Sus scrofa: one gene and its partners. The protein of the gene in region 1 interacts with the protein of each later gene in a pairwise test. Links are inferred from orthologs where the notes say so. Each region holds a gene or a part of one and is shown in the gene's direction. Other genes may lie near its edges.

Evidence for each region.
Region 2: the proteins of CEP70 (region 1) and LENG1 interact in binary tests that used the Homo sapiens proteins (3 or more experiments, as listed by UniProt). The two-hybrid records come from large-scale screens. The link is inferred for Sus scrofa from reciprocal best matches to the Homo sapiens genes CEP70 and LENG1.
Region 3: the proteins of CEP70 (region 1) and TAF1D interact in binary tests that used the Homo sapiens proteins (3 or more experiments, as listed by UniProt). The link is inferred for Sus scrofa from reciprocal best matches to the Homo sapiens genes CEP70 and TAF1D.
Region 4: the proteins of CEP70 (region 1) and KAT7 interact in a two-hybrid assay, tested with the Homo sapiens proteins (2 studies listed by BioGRID and IntAct). The two-hybrid records come from large-scale screens. The link is inferred for Sus scrofa from reciprocal best matches to the Homo sapiens genes CEP70 and KAT7.
Region 5: the proteins of CEP70 (region 1) and MFAP1 interact in binary tests that used the Homo sapiens proteins (3 or more experiments, as listed by UniProt). The two-hybrid records come from large-scale screens. The link is inferred for Sus scrofa from reciprocal best matches to the Homo sapiens genes CEP70 and MFAP1.
Region 6: the proteins of CEP70 (region 1) and TRIM29 interact in binary tests that used the Homo sapiens proteins (3 or more experiments, as listed by UniProt). The two-hybrid records come from large-scale screens. The link is inferred for Sus scrofa from reciprocal best matches to the Homo sapiens genes CEP70 and TRIM29.
Region 7: the proteins of CEP70 (region 1) and ZBTB16 interact in binary tests that used the Homo sapiens proteins (3 or more experiments, as listed by UniProt). The two-hybrid records come from large-scale screens. The link is inferred for Sus scrofa from reciprocal best matches to the Homo sapiens genes CEP70 and ZBTB16.

What each region holds. Positions count from the first base shown.
Region 1 is NC_010455.5:79,359,441-79,362,940, reverse strand, and holds part of CEP70 (centrosomal protein of 70 kDa), read left to right. Parts: intron 1-2,853; coding exon 2,854-2,979; intron 2,980-3,500.
Region 2 is NC_010448.4:55,969,250-55,973,384, forward strand, and holds the start of LENG1 (leukocyte receptor cluster member 1), read left to right. Parts: upstream 1-1,335; 5' UTR 1,336-1,421; coding exon 1,422-1,553; intron 1,554-2,658; coding exon 2,659-2,838; intron 2,839-4,135. Other genes in the region: TMC4 (transmembrane channel-like protein 4), read left to right, coding at 1-95, 203-358, 588-666, 752-820.
Region 3 is NC_010451.4:26,164,483-26,168,467, reverse strand, and holds the start of TAF1D (TATA box-binding protein-associated factor RNA polymerase I subunit D), read left to right. Parts: upstream 1-1,185; 5' UTR 1,186-1,336; intron 1,337-3,093; 5' UTR 3,094-3,194; coding exon 3,195-3,253; intron 3,254-3,985. UniProt on the Homo sapiens protein: Component of the transcription factor SL1/TIF-IB complex, which is involved in the assembly of the PIC (preinitiation complex) during RNA polymerase I-dependent transcription.
Region 4 is NC_010454.4:25,969,766-25,973,956, forward strand, and holds the start of KAT7 (histone acetyltransferase KAT7), read left to right. Parts: upstream 1-1,391; 5' UTR 1,392-2,000; coding exon 2,001-2,033; intron 2,034-4,191. UniProt on the Homo sapiens protein: Catalytic subunit of histone acetyltransferase HBO1 complexes, which specifically mediate acetylation of histone H3 at 'Lys-14' (H3K14ac), thereby regulating various processes, such as gene transcription, protein ubiquitination, immune regulation, stem cell pluripotent and self-renewal maintenance and embryonic development.
Region 5 is NC_010443.5:127,740,218-127,744,206, forward strand, and holds the start of MFAP1 (microfibrillar-associated protein 1), read left to right. Parts: upstream 1-1,189; 5' UTR 1,190-1,390; coding exon 1,391-1,469; intron 1,470-3,989. UniProt on the Homo sapiens protein: Involved in pre-mRNA splicing as a component of the spliceosome.
Region 6 is NC_010451.4:47,281,305-47,285,245, reverse strand, and holds the start of TRIM29 (tripartite motif-containing protein 29), read left to right. Parts: upstream 1-1,141; 5' UTR 1,142-1,340; coding exon 1,341-2,141; intron 2,142-3,941.
Region 7 is NC_010451.4:41,831,536-41,835,035, forward strand, and holds part of ZBTB16 (zinc finger and BTB domain-containing protein 16), read left to right. Parts: intron 1-2,211; coding exon 2,212-2,441; 3' UTR 2,442-3,500. UniProt on the Homo sapiens protein: Acts as a transcriptional repressor. Transcriptional repression may be mediated through recruitment of histone deacetylases to target promoters. May play a role in myeloid maturation and in the development and/or maintenance of other differentiated tissues.

The sequences.
Region 1 (3,500 bases):
TCTATATGTTTTTTAACTTAATCCTATATGTTGTCTACCTATGAGATACAGGTAGTACTCTGTTTTCTCTTTTACGAAGATAGAAATCAAAGCTCAAAGATGTTAATGAGTTTGGCCATATCACACAGTTTAATAAATGATTAAGGTAATAGTCACTCAAGCCATTGGACTGTGAAGTCTAAGCCTTTATACTTTACTCTTTATAGTGCTACAAGAGCATATAACAAGAGGACCCAATCTAGTCATGGGATCAGGGGGGATTTCCCTGAAGGAAATTTAAATCGAGATCTGAAGGTCAAGTATGAGTTAACCAAGTGAAGAGGATAAGAGCGCCTAGGGCTTTGAACCTAGAGGGGGCTGACACTTTGAAGATCTGAAAGAGATCTGGTGTGGCTGTTGGGAAGATTATCAGAATATGTAGCTTCTCACACTTTGGGGATTCTCTTACATTGATATTCGCCTCCCTTATGTCTGGTCTACAGACATATTCTTCCTACTTTAAAACTCGGTGAGTCCTGATGGTGGTGCAGTAGAAAGAACACAGCATTACCTCTGAGGCATTCTTGCCAAAAAATACTGAACCTAATATAATAAAACCTCTACATGTAACCATTTTACAAGAAACATATGGAATGAAGAAGTATGTTAAATGATATGGATACAACAAGCCCAATCTGAAATGTGGCTAATTGTGTAAGACAAATGGCGTATTTTTTCAACAAATATGGCAGGTTTTTTTAAAAAAAGAGAGAGTGGAAGAAGATGAGTGAGACTGTTACAGATAAAGAGAAAATTAGGAGTGCTGTATGTGGACTTGATTTGAAAAAACAAACAAACATCAAGACTTTTTAAGACATTTGGGGGGAAAATTGAACACGGAATAGATATTAAGTGATAGTAAGGAATTATTTTAATATAGTTGGTTGTGACAATGGTATTATGTTTTAAAAGAGTATATTTATTAGAGATGTATATTGAACTATGAGTGAAGAAGAAATAAGTATGGAAGAATATTGGTTATCACTGAAGTTGGATTAATGAAATACTCTTATTTCATTAAGAGGTCATTGTACTCTTTCTCTACTCCTATGTATTTTTGAAAAGTTCTGATAAAAAGTTTAAAAACTAGCCAAAAGGTAGTAAGTTGGCTGATATTTTGCAAAAGTATATTTAAAACAAAGTTTGGGGAGTTCCCGTCATGGCTCAGTGGTTAACGAATCCAACTAGGAACCATGAGGTTGTAGGTTCAATCCCTGGCCTTGCTCAGTGGGTTAAGGATCTGGCATTGCCATGAGCTGTGGTGTAGGTCGCAGACGCGGCTCAGATCCCACGTTGCTGTGGCTCTGGCGTAGGCCGGTGGCTACAGCTCCGATTTGACCCCTAGCCTGGGAACCGCCATATGCCTCGGAAGTGGCCCAAGAAATAGCTAAAAAGACAAAGGATCCGGCACTGCCGTGAGCTGTGGTGTAGTTGCAGACGCAGCACGGACCCCACATTGCTGTGGCTCTGGCGTAGGCTGGCAGCAACAACTCTGACTAGACCCCTAGCCTGGGAACCTCCATATGCCGTGGGTGCGGCCCTTGAAAAGGCTGAAAAAAAAAAAAAGTTTGGGGGGGTGGAGAATGAAAATAGTGGGTGATTGAGTTGTTGAAGGAAGCCACAGTTTAAGGAGAGAGAGTACTCTATGATGTCAAGCAGCAAAAATGGCAGAATTTGATAATTTGTAACATGTTACTAGGTTTAGCTTAAAATGAATTATTGGTGACTAGAAAATTGTTTAGTTGGATTTCAATATCTGAAGAAGTCATAGGAGTACAGAGGATGCTTTGCAAGAAATATGGAACTGAGGCAGGGAAGCCTACTTCTAGTGAGTCCTGGGAAGATCATTTTATTTCTCTCGGTCTCAGATAGTTAAAGCACCTGATATATTGGTACAGTTCTCCCAACACTCTGTCCTGCCAGCTATGTACAGCTAGAGATTTACCAAAGTTCTTTCAAACTCTTAAGATTCCATCATGCTAATGAAAGCGTATGTGATTGTACCTTTGGAAAGGAGGAATTAGATATCAAAGAATCCAAAAAAACTTTTTCCTATAGAATGGCAGAGTCTTAGGCAGCAAGAGTACTGATGAGAGGGTAGACCGAGTATAAATTTTATGTGTGCCAAACAGCATCCTCTGTTGCTAGCTTTTGATCCACTTATAAAAAGAGACCACCTAAGAATGTGGCACTTCATTTGCCCTAGAGTTAATCTAGTGAATTGTTAGACTGGCCTGTAACCTTGGATCAGATACAGTTCTTTTAGTTTTTTGGGAAGCAGCTTCCAAAAAAATAAGTTTATTTGTTAGCATTGCTTGCTTTTCACGTTATCTATTTAAAACAAATAGTTTTCTTTGTGTGTATGTGTAAAACTCTATGTTTTATTTCTAGAAGAGAACATTATAAAATTACAAAATTCTCTCTCTCTCTTTTTTTTTTTTTTTTAGGGCCACACCTGTGGCACATGGAAGTTCCCAGGCTGGGATCCAATTGGAGCTGCAGCTGCCAGCCATAGCCACAGCCACAGCCACAGCCATGCCAGATCTGAGCCATGTCTGTGATCTACATCACAGCTCATGGCAACACTGGATCCTTAACCCACTAAGCAAGACCAGGGATTGAACCCACATCCTCATGGATACTAGTTGGATTTGTTACCACTGAGCCGCAGTGGGAACTCCATTATAAAATTCTTAAAAATCGGTTTCTTAGAAGTTATAAGAGTTTGACACGGGAATGCTTAAATTGCCTATGAGTAGTAGGTTCTTTTCAATACCTTTTTCTTTTAATGCTCTTTTTTCTTTTTTAATTTAGGCAACTCACAATTTTTTATTGCCAGTCTTTATGTCTTTTGATTCTACAAAAGAAACTGTATCTACAGCAGCCCCTAAAGCCCAGGAATCCAGCAAATCATCAACCAGTGTCATGACTGAAAAACAGGTAAACTTGAAATATTTGAAACCAGTGTTTTTCATAGTATATGTCAAAGAATCCCACATTTACAAATGTGAAAAAACTTAATAAAGCCTTCTTTAATAAAATCATCTTGGGAAATGATGGGTTAAAGACTATTACATGATAGCAATATTCTAAGATTTCACAATACCATCAGTCTCCAAAAGCAGGCTTTAGTATATAGTATTTCCTACTTACTTAACACTAATCTGATGAATATTTCTGTAGACTGATGTTATGTAGCACATACTTTGGAAAATGCCATTCTCAACTACTTTCAGAATTTGGCAACAGTTATGTTATTCTTTCTATTTAAAGAGCTATCAGGGAACAATATGTGTAATTTGGTCATTCACAGTGCACAACATTATTTATAGAACATTTTGTTCTTACGAGTCATAGTAGACATCTACTTGTATATCCACACAGAGCTTTTGGCTCCTAAACATATAGCAGCAGTAATTGTAGTTGTGTGTCATTAATCTTTATGATTAGAAGATATAAAT
Region 2 (4,135 bases), on another chromosome or scaffold:
ACATTTCGGGCCTCTACTGTGAATTTCTTTTTCCCCCTGGTGCTTCTCCTGGGTCTGGCCATCTCCGCCGTTCCTGTGCTATATGGCATCTTCGTGTAAGTGTGAGAGGCACCTGCCTCTCTTTCCCTCCCTCTTCCCACTTCCCTCCAAGGTTCTGACTTGTGGCCATCCTGGAGCTCTGCCTGTCTGTCTCTGACTTCAGGATCCCACCTTCTAAGCTGTGTGGTCCATTCCGGGGGCAGTTGTCCATCTGGTCCGAGATCCCTAAGTCTATCGGAAGCCTCCCCGAGACTGCCCAGAATTTTCTCTTCTTCCTGGGGACCCAGGCATTTGCTGTGCCCCTTCTGCTGTTATCCAGGTGAGGGCCCCAGACTCCTGCATCCGGGTTTGAACGTGTGATCTGGGGTCCTACTTCCGAGAACGGAGGGGGCTGGGGGCCCAAACTTCTGGGTCTGCGGGAAGAAGGGAACTGGGATACTAGACTTCTTGAGTCTGAAGGAGGTCCGGGCCCCTGGTTTCTAAAAGAGTCTTACGTCGAAGATACACTAAGCGTGTTTGGGGAGTGGCTTTCATTCCGTCTCCTCTAGCATCCTGATGGCATATACTGTGGCCCTGGCTAACTCATATGGACGCCTCATCTCTGAGCTCAAACGCCAGATAGAGACGGTGAGTCAGGCCGGGTCCTTGGCAAGGGGTCCCGGGGAATCTAGAGATCTGTCTCACCTCCACCTCTCTTTACCCTTTACCCCAGGAGGCACAGAATAAAGTCTTCCTGGCACAGCGCGCTGTGGCACTGAGCTCGGCCAACGGAGCTCTTTGACCTTCCCAGCCTGGTTCAGGGTGACGACGTCTCGCTTTCAGACAGAGACCCACCCCCAGATCCTTTGAAGGTCTCGGCCGCGTCGTTTGGAAAATGAAAGAACTGGAGAACATCCCATGCCTTTCCAGCCCTGGGGGTCGCTGCCTCTCCAGTGAACCCCTTTCTTGTATCAATAAACACAACGGAGGCTGCTGAACGCTTTTTGAAACTTGTGTCCGGAAGCCGGGGGCAAGACTTCAGCGAGACAGAAGCCAATCAAATGCGTTGGCCGGGGAGGGTTGGTGTGGAGGGCATTTCCTCGAGAACACCTGGTGGGCGTGTCAGCCAATCAGCGGCTGCGTTCGGCAGCGTCAGGGCGGGGACACTTGTGATGGACTCGGGATCTTCAGGAGAGGCCGTCGCTGGGCGACCGCACGCGCGATGCTCCGCGATGGGAGGTGGGGGTCTCAGCCAATCAGCCTTTGCTACGGACCCGGGGGGGCGTGCCAAGTAGTCTAGGACCAATCCGTGACCGAGGCAGAAACAACAGGGAGGGGCCATCCTCCTGCCAATCGGAAGTGCTAGGAGGCGGGCCTGCCAGTTCGCGGACAGCTACGGCGCCATGAATATCCTACCCAAGAAGAGCTGGCACGTCCGGAACAAGGACAATGTGGCCCGCGTGCGGCGTGACGAGGCCCAAGCCCGGGAGGAAGAGAAAGAGCGTGAGCGGAGGGTGCTTCTCGCTCAGCAAGAGGTAAGCACCGAGCCCGGCCGGGGCTCCGGGGCTGAGCGCGCAGGCTCCTCGGGAGGGACCGGAAGCGGTGCGGCGCGCAGGCGCAGGGCACACCGTGGGGAATTTGGGGCTGGGTGCTTTGGAAGTATCTTCTCCTAGTGCTTTGATTAGCTCTCCTTGAACTCTCGCCGCTCTTGCTCTTCCCCCGCTCCTGTACTTCTCGAGGCCATAGTAGGAGCTCATGAAAAAACGAAGCCCTGAGTAGTTCAAGGAAACCCGGGCTACTTTTCAGTTTGCCTGCGCAAAGTCCCCATTTAGTGAGCGCCTGCTGCAGAACGCTTGACTTGCAAAATATCTCAAGCACCGTTCATTCTTAGAGGAGGCGCTATCATTTCTATTTTGCAGAGGGGTGAGATGCCTTCAGAGAGGAGGCCACAGCGAAATGACAGTGGAACAAGGCAATTCAGTTTTATCGGGCGAGCCCTTTGCCTGCACTGCCGGCCACACAGAAACACCAGAGGCAGTCTTTGTAACTCCTCACCTGTTTGATTTACACCTCACTTCCAGTCCTTTAGCTAATTTGGTGGTCAGCACTGGCTGGGGGATAGTTAGGGCTTTTAAAATTCTCATTTATCACTAGAAATTGCAAACCAACCGGGGATAGTGACTCGAAGCCCAACCTGGAATTCAGATCACCTGTTCTAATACATGTTTTGGTTGCCTTCATAGCGGTTTTTCTGTTTGTTTTTTTTTGGCAGTGCCCACCGCATGTGGGAGTTCCCAGGCCAGGGACTGAACCTGAGCCTTAGCAGCGACTTGAGCTGCTGCAGTGACAAGGCGGGGTCCTTAACCCGCTGCGTCACAAGGGAACTCCATTAATAGCTGTTTTTATTGTGTCACTGGAAATTCGGAATCCCTCTGGTTTTCTGTTTGAAAGGTAGCTTGCAAACCCAGATATTGCCTTATTTCTCCACCTTTTCTCGAAGCTGGGGCAGGTGCCTTTCCTGGCTCCGAGTGCCTCTGCTCCCTTCCTTACAGCCCCCGTCTGTGGTTGGCACTAGATTCACTGTTCCTTGAATCACATCTAGGTTCTGAATATTCTGCCTGTAACTTTCTTTTCCCCCAGGCCCGCACGGAATTCCTGCGGAAGAAAGCTAGGCATCAGAACTCACTGCCTGCGCTTGAAGCAGCAGAAGCAGGAGCCCCAAGGTCTGGCCCTGTGGATCTGTTTCGGGAGCTGCTAGAGGAAGGGAAAGGCTTGAGCAGAGGCAATAAAGAGTACGAAGAAGAGAAGCGACAAGAGAAAGTAAGTTGGTCCTGCCCTCTCCATCAGTCATGGATGGAGCTGGGGCTGGGGGAGCACCTTGCTTTCAGGTGTGACTGAGGGGTATTTAGGGACACAGAAGGAATCATATAGCTAATTTAGAGAACTCTTAAGAGTAATGAGGAAGTCCCTTTGTGGCTCATCAGTTAACGAACCCGACCAGGATCCATGAGGATGTGGGTTCCATCCTTGGCCTCGCTCAGTGGGTTAAGGGTCCGTTGTTGCTGTGAGCTGTAGTCTGGGTCGCAGACGCGGCTTGGATCCCCCATTGCTGCGGCTGTGGCGTAGGCAATGTGGGAAGACCCCTAGCCTGGGAACTTCCATATGCTAAGGGTGCGGCCTTAAAATAAAAAAGAAGAGTACTGAAACATAGCAGTCAAGAGAAGTTGGTTACTGTCGGGGTGCTAAGTACAAACCTGTCAGGTCTCTAACCTGGTGTCCAGATGTATAGATATCTGGGGAGTGTTAAGGAGCTTTGATTTTATTTTTTTTTAAATTTTTAAAATTATAGTTGATTTACAATGTTCTGTCAATTTCTGCTTTTCAGTAAAGTGACCCAGTTAAACATATATACATGTGTGTGTACATATATATATACATTCTTTTTCTCACATTATCCTCCGTCATGTTCCAGCACAAGTGACTAGACATAGTTCCCTGTGCTGTGCGGCAGGATCTCATTCTCTCTCCACTCCCACTCCCTTGGCAACAAGTCTCTTCTCCAAGTCCATGAGTTTGTTTCTTTTCTGTAGAAAGGTTCATTTGTGCCACGTATTAGATTCCAGATATAAGTGATAATGTATGGCATTTGTTTTTCTCTTTCTGATTTACTTCACTTAGTATGAGAGTCTCTTGTTCCATCCATGTTGCTGCAAATAGCATTATTTTGTTCTTTTTTATGGCTGAGTAGTATTCCATTGTGCATATGTGCTACGTCTTCTTCATCCATTGTCTGTGGATGGACATTTAGATTGTTTCCACGTCTTGGCTGTTGTGAATAGTGGTGCAGTGAACATACAGGTGCGTGTGTCTTTTTCAGTGAAAGTTTGTCTGAATATATGCCCAAGAGTGGGATTGCTGGGTCATACCGTACTACTATATCTGGTTTTCTGAGGTACCTCCCTACTGCTTTCCACAGTGGTTGGACTGATTTACGTGTAGGAGGGTACCCCTTTCTCCACACCCTCTCCAGCATTTGTTTGTAGATTTCCTAATTATGGCCATTCTGAACAGTGTGAGGTGGCACCTCAGAGTAGTTTTGATTTGCGTTTTCCTAATA
Region 3 (3,985 bases), on another chromosome or scaffold:
GCTTGGGAACTTACATATGCTGCACCTGCAGCCCTAAAAAACATAAATAAAATAGAATAAAATTTTATTGGGGTATATGTGATTTACCATGTTTATTAGCTTCAGGTTTACAGCAAAGTGAATCAGTTATGCATATAAAATACATGCATTTTCATTTTGTACTGAGCTTCACAAACTGCATATGCAGGCCTGCCTAGGAATATAGCAGTGACTAAGACATGTGATACCTGTCCTGGAGCTGACAGTACTTCATAATGCCTAGAAAACCAGACTTTCTGCGCCTGGAATTTAGAACAACATTTAGAGAAAAATTGAGTAAAGAAACCTGATTACCTTCCAGGTCTGTCCTATCCCGAGATGACACTAACCACAAATTAACACGAGACAGCTTTCCTGGTTTTATTATATGATACAAGAGGTCTGAAAGTAGACAAATCAGGACAGCTCATTCCTTTTTTGTAACTACTTCGGGGGAAAAAATTGCCACCAAAACTAAACTAGTTTAACTTCTACCTTAACACTCATTTACCGCTCAGGGAACTAAGAGGGCTAAAAAGAAAAAAAAAAAAGGCCCCCGCTGGCATCTCTTGCGATGTGTTAACCACCTCCTGGGAGGCTGACCCTTAGTTCCAAAAGAAAGACTGAGTTAACAAAACAAGTCCGAAGGTGGAGAGGGAACTGAGTGCGTAACTGGATAACAATGGCTTCTAGTACAAAGGTTACACATTTCGATTCTCAGTCACAGCATGATCCTCTCACAATTTTACACAGAAGAGATTTTTGAAGGCAAAAGTAGACACACACACAAACACACACACCCGGAATCAGACTTTGGAAAGTCGGAGGACAGCTCAGCAAAGGGAGACCACTGGAGTCAAAGCAGGAGAAGTGGCTCTTCCTCGCAGTTCACATTCATTCCGTTCCCCTGCCCCCACAATTTCTTTTTCATAGTTTGCCCAAACGTTCTTGACTATTCCATTTACCTTACCGGTTCAGGACGCGTACACCAGAAGCCTGGCCTGGCCTCAGTCAAGTCCGCCTCCCCTGGGTTAAAAAGCTCAGGTCCCGCCCACTCTAAATCGCCCCGCCCCTCGCGGCAGCCAATATGGAGCGCCGCGTCTGGTTTTCTCCTATCTCTCTGTTATTTCCTGCAGTCAAATTGTTATCGCGAGACTTCGGGGCCACTATTAGCTGGGACGCGGGACTAGCCCAGCCTTTTCTTCCGCGCGTTTGTGGAGGTTGGGTGTTTTCTGGGCCTGCGCGCCCAACGCGGGTTTCTGAGGCCGGGGCTGCAACCGAGGACGCCAACGGAGACCCGTGCGCAGAGCGGGCACAGGTTGGTATAAGCCGTCCGCGGTCTGGACGGATAGGAAAGAGGACTTGGGCGCCGGGGCCTTGTGGGCGAAGGAGGGGGAGGGCCTGGCGCTTTTCACTTTTCCCGGGACGCCTGCGCGGCTCAGCGGGAGCGGAGGGCTCGCGGTGATTGTGGGCTCTGCTCTGGGCGGCAGGACTCACAGGTACAGGCTAAGCGCGTGGGCCGTTATCGGAGTTGTGGGTGTTGAAGTGCAAGTGTATTGAAGCGAGTGCACGTTTTCTCAATTAGTGGTGGTTAAGTGCGAGGTAACCGTTACCGACGCCATTTTCCTTGCACGAGGTTAGGCACTTCTGGAGACATTCGCCCCAAGGTCGCACTAAGTAAGAGTTGAAGGGATTTTGTTAAAGCTGCTAAAGAGCACTGCCTGGCTCCGTGGCCCCTTGTTGCAGAATCCCGGAACAGGAAGCGATAGGAATGCTTTCTAGTTCCCGAAAGTTTTTTTTTCTTATTTTTATCCCCACACCCGCAGCATATGGAAGTTCCCAGGCTAGAGGTTGAACCGGAGCTACAGCTGCCGGCCTACACTACAGCCATGCAGAATCCGATTTGGATCTGTGACCCAAGCAGCTTGCAGCAACGCGGGATCGTTGAGTGAGGCCAGGGATTGAACCCGCATCCTCACGGAGACAGCGTCCCGTCCTTAACCCACTGAGCCACAATAGAAACTCTTGAAAAACATTTTTGAGTTAAGCTTACTTAATTTTGATAGTGTGCTCTGTAATTATTTTAAACTTAATGTCAGGTATTCCATCATTGCCATTGGATCCAGTTTTTGTTGAATTTCTTTTTTAGGCTGTTTTCATGATTTATTTCTTAGGTTAACGCAGTTTTGAAAACTGCAATAAAACACTATGAAATTATCACACGAGTCCATGAGACATTGTGAATTTAAGATCTAGGTGATCTTATTGATTTCTTAGATTTCAAATACTGCTGCTGAAGGATTTCTTTCATCATTACTCATGTGTCATTACTAAGAATGTTAGACTAAGAACACCACAAAAAAATGAAGAATGATGACATCCTCATAAGGAAATGAAACAGAACAAAATAAGACATCTTTAATACTTTTCCCAAACTACTGTAAAATCTTCCAAGGAGATTTTTTTTTAAAGGAGACAAAGGGCACCATTTATTGTAGTCTGTACATTGAAAAGTGAGAATTCAGAACTTTGGGTTAACACCCATAGTAGCAAAGAAGTAATTTATCAAGGAAGGGGTTTCACAGTAACTTAAAATCTAGTGAGGGAAAGAGGCCATAAATGAAAATTGCAGACCTGAAGGTTAGGTTTAGGTAAGTCCAAATAATTTTTCTGGGTATACTGAGGCCAAAGGCTGCCTTTGTGGGACTTAATCTTTGTTATGCAAGAGATTTCTTGGTTCCCACCACTGTTGGCAAATGGCTTTTTGGCCATTAATTGAACATTACTATTTGTAACTACATGACTGTATGGCTAAGGGTAAAAATTACATTTTTACTGTTAGGGAAAAGAAGTTTGACACTCCTGTAGGAAATCTGGAATCTTGTTCTATAGGATGGATTAAGTAGGCACAACTGAAAGAACCCATGAATAAAATCTTTAGATGTTAGAATTAGACAGTTGTATATGAGAATATTAAAGGCCTTACATTCATTTTTGTCTTAATTTTCGTAATTGACTACATCAATATCTGCATTACTCTGATCCTAGCTGTTTTGTTGGCATTTATTTGTTCAGGGAAACTACATCACATCTACCAGATTTCATATGGTCAGAAGTCTGTTTAAAGCAAAGGACAAGTGACAATTTTGAGAGGAGCTTGAAGACTATATATCAAGATGGATTCTCACAATTGTACAACAGTTTCTGATTCAGCTTTGGAAATTGAGAATCAAAGGTAAGTGTTTTTCTAAAAAAATGTCTACATAAAAAATATGCACAACTGTGAGTTAAGTTTTATTTGGGGCAAAATGAGGATTTAAGTCTAGGAGGCAGCATCTCAAGTAACCCAGAGAGAACTCTTGCAGGGTGACAAGGGGAGGGTCCTGTAACGAAGGGCAGATAACCTCAAGTTAAGGAATTCAGCACATGTCTTTGTATGAGAAGATGCCAAGGTCTGGGTTCACTGAAATAACGTCTTTGATGTGCACCTCAGCTGTCTCTAGCCAGTATCCCCTGTTTTTCCATCCTGAGTTTCCTCAGGGCTCACTATATGGTGTGGCTGCTGGCTGGCAGGTGTTTCTTGCCTGTGTTCGCTCAGGGCTCACCAGCTCACCATCGGAGGTGGCTGAAATCACTGATGACTGACATCCTTTGCTTACTGATAGAGCAGGCAGTGTTTTTATTTCTCAGTTAACTACCACCAGGTTTTCCTGGGAACAGACTAGGTGATAATGTTTACTGTATTGGAATTGCTGTGATAGCATGCATCATTGTAGATAATGAATAGTTTGTAAGGTAATTTTTAAGAATTGGAAAAAAAGGAAAACCCAGTTTCCACAGACTTTCGCTTTAACTACTTTGGAATAGTGGGACGTGTTTGTAACCCAGGGAATCAAATCAGGAGTGTATTCTCTGGGCCAAATTGGTATTTTCCTGACTAAATCATTCTGTTGTGTAACAAGAGAAT
Region 4 (4,191 bases), on another chromosome or scaffold:
AGTCCTCTGCTTAGCACAACAATCAGATGTTTACCTTCTGCTGCTTTGTTCTTTAGTTCAGCTCCAGGGGGAAATCTCCATCTTAGCTAGCCTCAGGTGAAACGGGCTCCAGGATCCTAACTTAATGACTCTTGGATTTTTTTTTTTTTTTTTTCCTCCCAGTCTCTGGGCAAAGCTTTACTCCACACAAGGCTTTTCTCCCAGCGAGGTTAAATCCTCAACGCTTGCTGTTCACTTCTCAGCCTTTTCTTACCGCTCTTCTGCCAACCTTACATCTTCCACCAACTTCTCCTTTCTAGGCAGCTAACATCAATGCCTTTCTGAGCTCCAGCTTTACTAAAAATATTCCTTCCTCTTCCTCCAACTCCTGACTCAAGCGTCTGGATTTCGAGAGGTCACTTGGGCTAATGGGGTTCAATGCTTTTCCAACTCTGGTACCGCGCACGCGCGCACACACACACACACACACTCATCCCGAGGGCCACCCAAGGCTCTCAAACCCATACAGGATGAGGGGACGAAGTGGGTGTGCTCACCACAGAGCTAAACTGGTAATTCTTTGGAGCAACAGTTTCTGGAGAATGGTTGTGTCTCCTTTCGCGAGTGAACGGATCAACATACTTGCGGTTCGCTAAAGGCAAGGACAATGTCTCCTCTACCAGACAAGAAACTTCTTCATGAAGGACGCTACCTTCTTTCTGTCCTTTCACAAGCCCCCATTCCCAGCACTGTGAGACACCGAATGGCTCTTAAAATAGTTTCTTGTGCAAAATAGCCCTTCCCAATTTTGAGTTTATGTGATAAAGGGAAACGTCCTTTAGCCAATTCGGCGACTAAGGGGTTAAACCTCAGCAACCTGATGGATTCTGGGGCTTTCTTTCCTCGACTTCAGAAATTAAAACCAAAGGGAAGGGAAATTTTGCCCATTGTAAAGATGAGAACTGTTAACTTCAACTGTCAGGCTTCTGCCCCAAACAGGAATGGCTACCCACGCCTACAGAGGATGCCATTCCCCTAACTAAAAATGGCGGGCCCCAGTTTCCACTGTCGCTGCCACTTTCTGCCCAATTCCAAAATGGCTCCCGCTAGCCTCACCGGAGGGGGAAACCTCCCAGAATCCTCTCTGGCCCTAACGTCAGGTGACGCAAGCCTCAGCCGGAAGTGGAGGAAAAAGCGCCTCAGCCCGCGGCGCCTGCGCAGAAAGGTCTAGACGCTGTGAAGCAGGAGGCACTTGGGATCGTCCGCAGGATTGGGACTGCTACAGAGGCCGCCACGGAGCCCGCCGGAGCCACCGTTCCCACTGCTGCTGCCGCCGCTGCCCGAATCGGAACCGTCGGGCCGCAGCCGCCGGCAATGCCGCGAAGGAAGGTGAGAGGAACGGGACAGGAGGGATGGCGGGTTTCTAAAGGGCAGTCGATTGAGAAGAGTGACGCAGTTGGCCACGCCTCACAGTGGTTGGGTTCCAACTTCCCGCTTCCCTGAACCTAGCTCAGCAACCCTCGCTTCTGTCCATACCCAACAGAAAAATGTGGGCCCGACTGTGGCCTCGGCCTATGCTTGCACCTATTCCCGCCCTCTGCTTGCCTGGCTCGGAGGCGTTCTTCTCGGCAATTGGTCGCTGAAACGTCTAGAAGCATGTTGATTGGCTGGCGACACCGCCCATTTGGGCCCAACGGTCACCTCCCCGCGTGTGGGGGCGGTGTCTAGGCCCGGCTCTACCGCTCTCCGACTGGATGTAGAGAACGATCCCTCTTCTCTTGATTGGCGGGGCTTGGCAGTCTGTCCTGTGGGGGCGCGGTTTAGCGGGACCGCGATTGGGTGGCACGAGTCCCCTCCCATCCGTATGGTGATGCTCATAGGAGGAGAGGCGGGGTTTGGGGAGTATCCTTCCTTTCCCCGCGGAGGACACAACAAAGCAGAGGACTGGGTGGTAGAGAAGCAGCGCCCACTCCCGAGGGATCCCTTCCAGGCCTGTTGCACCTAAGCTGCGGTTTTCCCTTATGTGCTTAGTTGGACAGCGCCTAGAAAATGAAGTTCGTAAATCGGAAACTTCCTAGAATTAAATGGGACTTGACGATGTCATCTAGGGACACCCCCATCCCTTTTCTCAGCTAAGCAGAGGCTTAAGGGAGTGCCCCAAGCCACTCAATTAGGCAATGACAGAGCCTGGACTACAGGACAAATCTAATTCAGTTCAACAAACGTTTATTGACTCTTCGCTATGTGCTGGTTGCCGAGGACTCGAAAATTAATTAGACATGATCACTGGCTTAAGGAATCAGAGTCTGAGAGGAAAACAGACATTTAAATAACTGTAGAAGGGTTTAGTAAATTCTCTACTTGGCAGTAATAAAGATTAATGGGAGGGAAGTGGAGCAATTTAATCTGCTCTGGAGTAAGATGGGAAGTAGTTGGTGAAAGCAGTAGAGGAGAGCTGAGCTCCAGGGTCATGCCAGGAAGGGATGGGCAGAGATGATTAGGGATTCAAATAGCTGGGTAATTGGATTGGATGACCTTTAAGACTCCCCTTTCATCTTAATTTTTGGTGATTCTCTGTGGATCCTCCACTCATTTCCTGGCAGATTATCCTTGAAATATTTGGAACGCTGGGTGGTGGTCTTGCTCATTTCTGCAGAAATCTTTCTCTTCACAGAGGCTTTCAAATATTTACATTTTTTAATGTCTCCAAAATGACCTACATTGATAGGTGGTATTTATGTTAAGGCTCACCAAATAGTACTGGTGTCTTGGAATAGGCCCACAGTCTCCTTTTTGCAATCCCCAAGTACAAAGAGTTCTTGAAAATGTGTGTTTTTTAGTAACTTATTTCTTGGCAGAACCTGTTCTAAACTGTTCTGAGGCTATTTACAGTTTTTGTGTCTCATTTAGTGTGATTGTACATATATTTTGCTGCAGAAAGGGTGTTATTTGCAGGATGTATGCAGACTATTCCTTTCTAAAAAATTATGAATTCTAAACACATCTGATCCTAAGGGGGCTTTTTGTTTGTTTTTGCTTCTTGTATGTTTTTTTTAAGCAAATGCATCTCTCTTTATGGTTTAAAATTTTTTTTGCTTTTTTTTTTAGGGGTGCATCTGTGGCATACAGAGGTTCCCAGGCTAGGCATCAAATCAGAGCTACACCTGCTGGCCTACGCCACAGCCACAGCAACGCAGGTTCTGAGCCACATCTGAGAGCTACACCACAACTCACAGCAATGCCAGATCCTTAACCTGCAACCTCATGGTTCCTAGTCGGATTCGTTTCCTCTGCACCACAGTGGGAACTCCTCTTTATGGTTTAATAAAGGGTATGGTGTTAGCATAGGAGGGTACCCCAACCCTTCTGGCTTTGCTCTAGGATTCCCTGGGAAGGAAAGAAAGTTGGAATTTAATACAGAAAGCTGATGATCAATAGGTGATAATAAGTTGAGGGAGAAAATGTAACATACTTTGAGCACTTAAATTGTGCCAATTTGGTTACTGCTGTATGAGCATGCTGCAAAATGGGAGAAAAACTTCTGTTTTTTCAAACAAGTGTTTAATGCTTAATTGATAAAAGTTATCTTTATGGTTAATTGTGTCTCTGGAGGCTGATAATTGACAAATAATATTAACTGTAAAGGTGATTTTAAAAAACCTTCTGTTTTTGCATACCCATGTGTCTTCGTTTGCAAACCACTCCCTCCCCCCTTTTTAAAAGCACTTTTGGGGTACATGTGGAGAAACTTCAAAGGGAGATGACATAAGTAAGAAGAATTACTATTTTTCTCCCTAAGTTTGAGATCAGAGTTATAGACCATGATATTTTGAATCAGTGTGTGGTTTTTAATTCATTTTATTTTTTTATTTTTTGGTTTTTTTTTTTTTTTGCTTTTAAGGGCCATACCTGCAGCATATGGAGGTTCCCAGGCTAGGGGTCTAATCAGAGCTACAGCTGCCAGCCTGCACCACAGCCACAGCAATGCAGGATCCGAGCCACATCTGCAACCTACACCACAGCACATGGCAACACCGGATCTTTAACGCACTGAGCGAGGCCAGGGATCAAACCTACAACCTCATGGTTCCTAGTCGGATTCGTTTCCGCTGAGCCACGGTGGGAATTCCAGTGTGTGGTTTTTAAAAATGTAATAGCTGTTTATGTAGACTTTGAGCAAAAGCTACTCCAGAATTAAGTGAGGCTGTCACT
Region 5 (3,989 bases), on another chromosome or scaffold:
CATTTAAGAGTTACAGTCATATCAAACTTTTTTTTCTATTCTCTAGATGTCCGTGAGCAGAAACAACTAACTGCCTTCCCATCAGATTTACTCCTTCTGAATAGCACGGTTTTGAAGCTGATAAAATTATAATACAAATTTCTATTTGCTCTATTTTTACAGTCCTTTTCTTTCCAGCTCAAAATTGCTCCTTTGATGGCTTACTTGAGTCATCCATTGTTCCTTAATGGAGATTTGCTCAATTGTATTTCTCCCAGCCTAAGCCCAATTTTAGAACACAGATGAAATAATTTTAGAACGAATCCTTCAAAGCCCTTCAGGAACTTTCACACTCCTCAAATGAAAAATTACTGATAAAATCAAACTTTTCATAGTGTCTAATATATATACCATGCAATTTCTGTACTTCAAGACTTTGCTCATGTGTCCCTTCCCTCCCCACCACAGCAGTTATAAAATCCTTTCTACACTGAATGTGTTTTGACTTTCAATTAGCCTATGTTTTTTACACAGCCCAGCAAGTAAATTGGGATTGTTTCTGATATTACTGTAAAAGCCCTTGAAGACTTCCTAAATAAAATTCAAGTATTTGGAAGACATAAGCCTTTTAACAATGCTCCATACTCCTTAGAGCTAAACGAGGTAAATACAGCAAGTGCTTAATAATTACTTATGGACTTTCATATACAACCATTCCAGCCAAGAATATGTTTTAATAGGCAGTCTCTAGAAAGGAAAGAACTGAAACGCCTAAGAGTGTTTGGATTTCAGGCATTGTTCTAAGCCGTTTAGGGGATTTTTTTTTCCTGCCACTGGTCTAAATTAGCACCACTTGCCCTGACGTAACCCAAAAATATCGCACTACAAACCGCTCGGTCTCATCAAGTGAGAAAATCAGGTGCTATTAGCAGGATTTCTATTTCGATTTAACTCTAATTCTTAGCTTTCAACAATCTGAACACACTGTCCTTCTCTAACTCCTCGGTTTCTTCTTCATCACTTTGCCATTTTCCTCGGCTTCAAACGAACCTAATCAGCGAAACCTTTAATTCGGGTCTTCCGCGGACCTCAGAGTCTTAACCGCAAAGTCCAGAGAGCCATTTCCCGCCAGAAGTGGCGTCCAAATACCGCGAGACTAAGGTCGACAGGGAGTTTATGAGCATGCGCAGTAACAGACTCCACGGACTTTGGCTCCCTGACGTCCTCCACAATCCCACAATCCTCTAGTCGTACATTTCCTGTTTTTCTAGCTCAGCCGTAAGTGGTGTTTCTATCAGTACGCAGCAGTGTCCAGTGGCCTCTGGTGCGGAGGATTTTCTGTTCGTTGACGTTGTACCTGTTCACAGTTTGGAATCAGTCAAGTTTTGGAATCACCGCCGCTGCCATCAAAATGTCGGTCCCAAGCGCACTCATGAAACAACCGCCTATTCAGTCTACGGCTGGGGCCGTCCCGGTTCGCAATGAGAAAGGTACTGTGTTGAGCTGTTTTCCAGTCGGATCTTACTTGTTTCCCTAGCATATTCCAAACCGACCCCGGGCCCACCACCTCAGCCCCAGCGATCCTTAAGACCTTGCCCCCTATTTCTTTCGCCATCAAACTCGCATCCAATCGCGTTGCCTAGAAGGGAAAAAAACACCCACACTATTTCCACCTCATCTTGTTCCTAGAGCCTGTCGGTTCACTCCTACAGCAAGCATCCTCTTCCCTTGGCCTCCACCAATAAACTAGAGTAATAAATAAAGTGAACGCTTGCTGTTTGGAAGGCGTTGTGCGGGATACAATCCCAGTTTTGTTATCCATAATCTGTTTATGCTTTTATAACTCTTACTGTAATTATGTGTCCATCTCTCTCTACTGCATCATAAACTCATAGATTCCTCAAGGCAGGAACCCTCTCTTATTAAACTTTTTAATCCCTTTCAACCAACGCAGTGACTGTATTTGTTAAATTTAATACAGAGACAGTACCCCTAACCTTAAGGAACTCATAGTAGACGTGATTCATGCAAAAAGAGACCTATTCTAAGCAAGTGTGCAGTCTTTCGCACCCCTAATACTGTTACATAGGTGATGTAAACCAAGCGCTTTGAATAATCTCTTCAGACTGGGGTACTCAAGTTGATCTTTAAAGGATAGGTTTGATTCCAGTGAGTGCAGATGGATGAAGCAACACTGTACCTGTTTAGGGAGTCAGACTGAAAAGTCAAGAGTTTTTTCAGTAAGATATTTGGAAAATAATATCACTTCTTTCCTGTTTTTTAAATATAAGGTACTTATCCTTGTGTAACCTGCCTTTTTTTTTTTTTTTCCTTAAACTCTGTGGTTTTTTGATAAGTGCCTTTGGATACATGGAGATCTTATTAATTTAACTGCTTATGAGGTCTATTATATGGAGTTTGTTCCCTGCTGAGGGACAATTAGCTGTTTTGTTACTTTTTTTCCTCTTACACACAGCGCTGCAGTTATCATTCTTTAGTGCACTGCCTTAAGAATTTTAGGGTAGACTCCTAGAAGTTCTTCATCAATTAACTACCTATTGCCATTTGCTCTCCACAGTGGATTGTAAGAGCATTGAAAGTTTTTATTTCCTGTTATATTACCCACAATCTTGGTTGTATGAGATTTTTTTTATTTGCCCGATCTAATGGGTGTGAAACAATAGCACGTTATTTTAATTTGCAATTTCCTGAGTCCAGGATTACTAGGCATCTTGTTTGTGTGTTTATCATCTCTCTAGGTGTTGTCTTCTATGAATTATCTCTTTCAATTACCCATTTTCTATTTAGTTTGTTCTGACACATCCCAAATCTTTTTTTTTTTTTTTTTTTTTTTTTTTTTTTTTTGTCTTTTTGCCTTTTCTAGGGCCACTCCTGTGGCACATGGAGGTTCCCAGCTAGGGGTCCAATAGGAGCTGTAGCCGCCGGCCTATGCCACAGCCACTGCAACTAGGGATCTGAGCCGCGTCTGCGACCTACACCACAGCTCACGGCAATGCCGGATCCTTAACCTACTGAGCAAGGCCAGGGATCGAACCTGAAACCTCATGGTTCCGAGTCAGATTCGTTAGCCACTGTGCCACAATGGGAACTCCCCCAAACTTTAATATCTATTTCCCAGAGTTTTTTGGCTTGTCTTTTAATTATGGAGTCTTCTGTCACACAGGTGTTTTTAGTTTTATTGTTGACAGATTTAACAATTTTGTCTTTTATGTTTTGTGGTGTTTAGTATACTGTTTAAGAAATCCTTGGAGTTTCCTGGTGGCTCAGTAGGTTAAGGATCCAGTATTATCTTGGCTGTGGCTCTGATCCCAGCTGTGGCCCAGTTTCAGTCCCTGGCCCAGGAACGTCCCAATTTAAAAAAAAAAAAAAAAAAAAAAAAAAGTCTTTTGAGTTCCCCTTCCCAATTTAAAAAAAAAAAAAAAAGTCTTTTGAGTAACTTACCCAACCAGAATCCATGAGGACTCGGGTTTGATCCCTGACCCCGCTCAGTGGGTTAAGGATCTGTCATTGCTGTGAGCTGTGGTGTTGATCCCAGATGCAGCTCAGATCCCGTGTTGCTGTGACTGTGGTGTAGCCAGCAGCTGCAGCTCTGATTCAACCCCTGGCCTGGAAACCTCCACATTTCCTTGAGTGCCGCCCTAAAAAGACCAAAAAAAAAAAAAGATTTTTGGTTATCTAAGTGTTTGTATATTCTGAATAGGAAGGATTACACAGTTGTCTAAGACAGACTATAAGTTAAGGAGCTTACAGTCCAGCAGGGATGTAAATGTTTAAGATGTGTTTTTCGTGCATGAGTATTTAGCTTATCTGGAATTGTGTGTGTGTGTGGCATCCATTATAGATCTAATTTTAGTATTTACCTCAGGGCTAGCCAGTTGCCCCAACTACTCCATTGTTTTGCCGTACCCACTGCAAGTTATGCTTATTTGCCATATGTATAACTTCTTTGGTGAGGTATCTGTTAAGGTCATTTTTTTGGTTGGTTGGTT
Region 6 (3,941 bases), on another chromosome or scaffold:
GTGTGCTGGGGGTGTTGGATTCCCAGGACCATGGCAGTGGGTCGCAGCCCAGAAGGGACCAGGTGGCCTATCCTGGCAGGAGTGGAGGGTCCCCAGTGTTCCTGGAGGTGGTCAGAGAGAGGAAGAGTCTAGAGTCTTTAGTTTTTCTCTCTTTTTTTCCCTGAGGTCTGGGATTGTATGATAGTCATATTCTGTCACTTCTGAGAGTATCTGAGAGAGGGTGTTGCCTATGGCCTGGAAGAGAGAGGGTGGACAGGTATTGTTCTGAGTCACATAGCAAGTTGACCGTGGAGGCAGATGAGAATGAAGTGTTTGGGCCCCGAGGACACAGCCACCTGGCTGGCACTGCTTGCATTCCTGCCCCTCACTACTGTTTCTCTGGCCTTTGTATCCAAGCAGGTTCTGACCTGCTCTGATCGCATTAACAGAAAATCTGTATGCGTCTTGTTAAGGCTTCTGGGACAGGCATGGCCTTTCAAAGCCATCTTCCATTGAGATATTCAGGTGGCTCTGTTGACACCTGCGCTGAAAAAGGGAACCTGGGCTCAAATATCAGCTCCACCTCTTGACTTAGGCCAGCGAGTTATTTCCTTAGAGCTCCCGTGTTCTCATCTATTAAGTGGGGACAATTGAAATAGTTGTTGTAAGGATTACCAGAGATCATTAGGTCATGCACCTAACACAGGGCCTGGCAGTTGGCAGGAGGAGTTCAGTGACGAGTAGCCACTTCGCTCCAAACCCTAAAATCCAAATCAAACTGAACCCATCACTCCCTTTAGGGTGAGAAGCCACTCCGCTCTCTCAGGGCAGGGCAATCTTCCTCTGAAACCCAGGCCCGCTGATTACAAGGCTATTTGGTTTGTGTGACCCAGTTAATAACCCTCTGTCCCGTCGGCCTCTGCGGACACCTCACCTCTGCCCCAGGGGCCGCTGGGCTCAGCGAAGCCTGCCCACGGGTGAGGACAGAGGCTCCCACTTTCCTGATGAGAAGAAAGTGCGTCAGAAGGAAGCAGCCCAACTGGTTGCCGAGCCGTGGAAAACAATTAAACTGGGGGAGAAAAAAACCCTTTAAAAAAAATCAGGTTAGGTATGAATGTGCAGGGTGTGGCCCCCCTGTATAATTAGCCGCTCTGCTGGCTCCGGGAGCCACGGCCGCCTCTCCCGGCCCCGTTGTGTCAGCCCCAGCGGCCCCTCCTCTCCGCTCCTCCTCCTCCCCGCTCCCTGAAGGTGTGTCTCGGGCTCTGCGGCTGCCTGTCCCACTCCCCGCCGAGACGCCCGCCGGAGAGGTCACCCACCCACACCTCCAGGGAGCCCGACCCAGACCAGCCAGGTGACCCGCGATGGAAGCCGCAGACGCCGCCAGGAGCAACGGGGCCAGCCCGGAAGCCAGGGATGCCCGCAGCCCGCTGGGCCCTAACGGCAGCCTGGAGAACGTGACCAAGGCCGAAGGCAAAGAGGCCAAGACCACCAACGGGCACGCGGGGGAGGCGGCCGAGAGCAAGAGCCTGGGCGGCGCCCTGAAGCCGGGCGAGGGAAAGAGCTCCCTGTTCTCCGGGAACGAGTGGCGGCGGCCCATCATCCAGTTTGTCGAGTCCGTGGATGACAAGACCTCCAGCTACTTCAGCATGGACTCTGCGGACAGCAAGAGGTCCCCCTACGCCGGGCTCCAGCTGGGGGCCAAGAAACCGCCTGTCACCTTCGCCGAGAAGGGGGAGCCGCGCAGGTCCATCTTCTCGGAGCCCCGCAAGCCCACCGTGTCCATCATGGAGCCCGGGGAGGTCCGGCGGAACAGCTACCCTCGGGCCGACTCGGGCATCCTCCTGCGCTCCAAGTCGGGCTCCGAGGAGGTCCTGTGCGACTCGTGCATCGGCAACAAGCAGAAGGCCGTCAAGTCCTGCCTGGTGTGCCAGGCCTCCTTCTGCGAGCTGCACCTCAAGCCCCACCTGGAGGGCGCCGCCTTCCGCGACCACCAGCTGCTCGAGCCCATCCGGGACTTCGAGGCCCGCAAGTGCCCCCTGCACGGCAAGACCATGGAGCTCTTCTGCCAGACGGACCAGACCTGCATCTGCTACCTCTGCATGTTCCAGGAGCACAAGAATCACAGCACTGTGACTGTGGAAGAGGCCAAGGCTGAGAAGGAGGTAAGAGCCGGGCCCCTCCCCCACCACCCTCGGGGCCTCTCCTCGCTCGCTGAGTCCTCCCACCTCATTTTCCCACTGGGGGTGCTGGAGTCTGGGGCTCATCTCTCTGCTGTCCCTGGGTCTTTCAGAAAACACTTCTGTCCCCTCTACTCCGCCAGGCTGGGAGTCAGGGAGGGCTCCCCAGTCCTCTAAGGCCCCAGGAGACTGGTGTATTCTAGATGAGCACATAGGGGCTCAGCAAAGATAGGGGACTCGGCTAAGGTCACAGGATAAATTCAAGTCAGGTCAAGGATTGGCACTCAGTCCTGGGCTGGGTGGGCCTGGCTGGATGTATCTTTTTCTTCTTCTTCTTCCTCTTCCTCTTCCTTCTCTTCTTCTTCTTCTTCTGAGGAGTGGGTTATGGGTGAGGAGGAGGGAATTTGGGGATGGCTTCAATGTCCTATTTTCTGTCTTCAGAGTTGGCCTTTGCAGGACAGCAGCTTCTTCTTGTTCCGTCTGATCCTCCATCCTGTCCCTTGACCCCCCTGCTGGCCTCCTTTATCCCCCCTCAGCCAGGCCCTGTGTGCTTTGTGTGTGTGGTTGTATGTGGTGGGCGTGCCTCTGCCTGTGGATGGACGCTCTTGGTGAGGGTTGGAGTGGGGGGGAGGGGTCTGTGTGTTTTATATGCACGTGGGTGTGTATATGCGTATGTGGATGTTTGCATAAGATTGTGTATGTAGCACGTCAGTGTGCTTGCATGCATCCTGTGTTCGTGATTCTGCCAGTAGTTCTGTGGTGAGGAGCGGAGGCGTGTAGAGGCTTGTGAGTGTGGTATACCTGGAGCGGGTGCGCCGGCTACAGGCTCAGCTGTGGCTGCTGCCCCTGGCCCTGCAGACTGGGGCCCTTTGCCCCCACTCCCCGGCAGCCACATAGCTCCCTGGCATGGGCAGCCTTTTGTTGGGGTGAACCTTCCCAGCGGTCAATGCAGGGGAATCGACTTTCTGCACCCTGCAGGCACCCCCTCTGTGCCCAGCCTTCCTGACCAAAAGTTTGTGGGTGACTGTCTCCCACCCACACTCCTGGGCAGGAAGGAGCTGTCAGAGATGAGAGAAAACTCAAAGATCCTTTTCCGAAGCCTCATTTGGCCCAGGAGCAAGGTGACCCCAGTTTCCCCTGCCTGGCTTCACGCTTCATACGGGAAGATGGAGATGGGGGCCTTACTTAGAAAATCAAAATAGAACAAGGACCAATCATCTTCATTCACCACAACCAAGAAGTTGCACAGCCCTGACTGGGCTGGGTTTTGGGAGACCTGGATTCCAGTCCTGGTTTTGCCTCTGATCATCTGTGCAGTGGTAGCCAGGTCCCTTCCCTTCCTTCAGGCTCAGTTTCCCTTCACGTGAAACTAGGGGATTGGACTCCATTGGAGATTTTCTTTCTTCCTTTCTCTTTTTGGCCATGGGGGATCCTTAACATGCTGAGCCACCAGGGAACTCCTAGAGGTTTTCAAATTACCCCATAGAGCCCTTGGGGAGCTCCATGGAGCTTAGGATTCTTGGGACTGTCATTAGCTTAGGATTCTTGGGAATGTCTTTAAGGTGTCAGGGATGAGAATGGGGGCAAAGTGATGCCAAAAAGACAGGGTCGGCAGGTTCCCACCTCACAGCAAACAGTACGTGCTCTTGTTCATCCGTTGTATACATGGGGTTTGGACTCCAATTTTATCTGAATCAAGGGTATCTCCAATTAAGAAAAGCCTGAATGCTCTAGAGGGTAGTCTTTGGCAGCTTTCTCTGGTGGTACCTGGAATGTGGAGTTCAT
Region 7 (3,500 bases), on another chromosome or scaffold:
GAACAACTGCCAATAAGGCTCAGTGTGGTGACCACACTGAGTGCCGCTTCCTCTGGGCGAGGGCAAGGCAGACATTGCTAATCAATCACAGCACCCTTTCCAGGGGCCCAGACTGGCCTTCCAGGCAGCCATACCAATCGCTCGCAGATGATGTCCATTTGTGACTCCTGATTGAGGGAAGTGAAGGTGCCTGATTAGCTGGAAGTGAAGGCTGGGATGATTTCCTGTGCTTGAGGGTTTGAGTAAGAGCTAGGGGACCTTAAGTTAGGTTATGATGAGGGTTGGGAAAAATTACAAGTTATATGGAGTTTGGTTCAAAGATTAGAGAAGCAGATGTATTTACTAACCCCTCTCTGAGTGTAATGTTTCACCCGTTCACCGGGCCGTCACATTCCTTTTTACAGAAATGCGAGGGGCTCTTTTCTTGGGGCCCAAAGATAGAACAAGTGGAAGTGGTCCCGATGGCCAGAGCTGCCAGAGTTGAGGGTGTGGGACACTAGAGCTGGGCCAAGCCTGCCTCTGGGGGCCAAGTGCACGTCTCATCCCAGCCCTGTGTTCAGTCTGTCACGTTAGTGGCTGAAAACCAGCCACAGTGGGGCGTATTCACAACATGGCTGTCAACACCAGCTACAAAATCAGGGCTTTGGGGAGAGCCTGTTGTTAAACATTTACCGCACAGCTGGTCGGGGGGCTAGATATTCACAAGGCCTCGTCTGAGGATGGGAGGTCGTAGAAGGTGGTGGAATGTGGCAAAGTAGGAAGTCGCTCCTGATCAGGGGAAGCAGCTGCCTGGCCAGAGGGAGGCGGAGAGGTGATCAGGCCGGTGCTGCCGGCCCAGCGGAGAGTGTGTTTACCTGGGAGGGGAGGTGAACCCAGGGAGCCGTAAGCAGAGGATGTGTGTTTTCAGAGCTCTGCTTGGGGCCACCAGGAGAGGATGGGGTGCTCGTCGCTGACAACTGGAGTGACCCCCAGGATTTCCCAGGGCCCTGGGGCTTCCCTAGCCCCTTGTCAGAGACGTGACCTGGCAGACGGATCGTTACATGCATTGGCGTTGACGATCGTAAATAGCCAGTCAATAGTTAGATCACTTTGGCTGTTCATTACTTCATTATTTGCAGGGGCCTCTGCACGGAGGAGTATCGATAGCGAGATGGCTGGCCAGTTAATTACTGTATCGAAACAAGGTTCCCTTGTATCCTCGGCTAGGCTCCAGGGGACTGTAACAGCGGGACAGGCTGTCACCCCGAGGGTGTGGTCACTCATTCCCAGGCTCTCGGTCCCTTCCCTCTTCTAGCTGCCAAGGGGGAGGCAGGGTCCAGGGCAGGTTCTTAGAGCCTTAGAGGAGTCGCCATCCCCCAGTGTAGCATATTTGCAGGATGGGGTCCCCCAGTTTCACTGCCGTTCCCCATCATCTGTAGCCCTGAAAGGACTCCATCCCCTTGCTCCCTGGAAGGAACTGTGTGCTAAAGAGCCATCCCTAAGGACCAAGGAGGCTGTACTGCCCCTTGTCTACATTTCTGTCTCCTTTCTTAGGAAGGGGAGAGTCTGTGGCCCTGAGTGGGTTAAGAGGAAGGCCAGCAGCTGGAGTGGTGCTGACAACACCATGGCCCCAGCTAGGGGTGGCTCTTTACATGAGTTACAGTGATGGAGATGCAGAATGTAGGAGTTCCCTTTGTGGCTCAGTGGGTTAAAGACCCTACATAGTTTCTTTGAGGATGCAGGTTCAAATCCTGGCCTCACTCAGTGGGTTGAAGATCCGACGTTGCTGTGAGCTGTGGTATAGATCTCAGATGCGGCTCGGATCCCGAGTTGGCTGTGGCTGTGGTGTAGGCCAGCAACTGCAGCTCCAATTCAACCCCTAGCCTGGGAATCTCCATATGCTATAGGTGCGGCCCTTAAAAGCCAAAAAAAAAAAAAAAAAAAGAATGTAGTACATCAGAAACGAACTCAACATTATAAGTCAACTATACTTTCATTATAAAAAAAAAAAAAAAGAACGGGGTTCGCAATTGCCCTGGCCACCTTTTAGGCCCTCAGTAGCCAGTTGTGACAGTTGTGGCTGCCACCCTGGGTGGTGTCTCCGTCACCGTGGAAGGCACCGTCCCAGAGGGACCAAAAGGCTCCAGCAAGCCCGGGGGGGGGGGGCGTGCCCTGAGGGTGCCGAGCGTCCCTGGGGTGGCCCTCACTGCCCCGCCTTCCCTCCCCCCACAGGAGAGAAGCCCTTCGAGTGTAAGCTGTGCCACCAGCGCTCCCGGGACTACTCGGCCATGATCAAGCACCTGCGGACCCACAACGGCGCCTCGCCCTACCAGTGCACCATCTGCACGGAGTACTGCCCCAGCCTGTCCTCCATGCAGAAGCACATGAAGGGCCACAAGCCCGAGGAGATCCCGCCCGACTGGAGGATAGAGAAGACGTACCTCTACCTGTGTTACGTGTGAGGCCAGCCTGCGGCCATGGCGGGGGAGCAGGAGAAGCGTTAGAGCAGGATGACGTCCAGAAGGACTGTGCAAAAACCACCACAAAAAACAAAAAGCAAACAAAAAAAGAAAGAAAAAGAGAGAGAAGGACAAGGGAACCTGGGGGCTGTCTGGCTCTGGATTCCCTCTGGGGCTCCAGGTGACCTGGCTGCCTGGCCGAGCCCCCTGCCACCCGAGGGCCCGGCCCTCCTTTCCCGGCTGGAGGTCGGCCGTCTCTTCTTGGGTGGGGGGTGGGGGGGATTTTGTTCAGCTCAGATGGTGGGATGTTTTTCTCTTCCTTCCACTCAGATCCTCCTTTTGTGTCCAGAGTTGGCGTCCAGGCGGGGAGGGAAGGATTCTCTGGTCGGAGTCAAACCATCTTTGCCTGCCGTCCTCTCACGACCCCTGGGAAGACGGGGCTGAGGAACGGGTGGGGTGGGAGGTTGCGGAGAGGGGGCCTGCAGGCGGTGGGGCTGGGCTGGGTCGCTGGTTGATGCTCACAAAGGCAGCTCTGGTTTGCTGGGGGCAGACAGGGGCAGGGAGGGGCGCCTCTACGCTTCCCCCGCTCCATCCATTGTTGGCTCTCCTCCACTCAGCCATGCCAGGTGGCCCCTCCTGGTCTTCAGGGCCCTCTCCCCCAATCCTGTGGCCCCCTGGCTCCCCTCCTCGCCCCTCCCTTGTGGACCAGGGGTGTCTCCCTCCTCCCAGTTGGGAAGCTGTGAGACTCCAGAGCCCCTGCCGGCACTCGTGGCTTTCTGAGAACGTGGACGAAGTCAGTGGAAGAGCCCACCCCATCCAGCCCTGTCCTGAGCGAGATTCCTGCTGAGCTGCTTCTGCTTCTAGAGTGGAAAAAAGGAGCAACTTGATACACACCGTCCCACCAAACACACGCAAATCCCTACAGCCCTCCTCAGCCCCCCGGAGGAGGAATCCGTGAAAGGGTGTGTTGCCCACGAGGGCCTGGGTGTCTTCCTCCAGAGGCACCTACACCGGGCGGGGACACCTGCCCTGGGAGGGAGGTGGGGAGTTGTGCTGGGGACC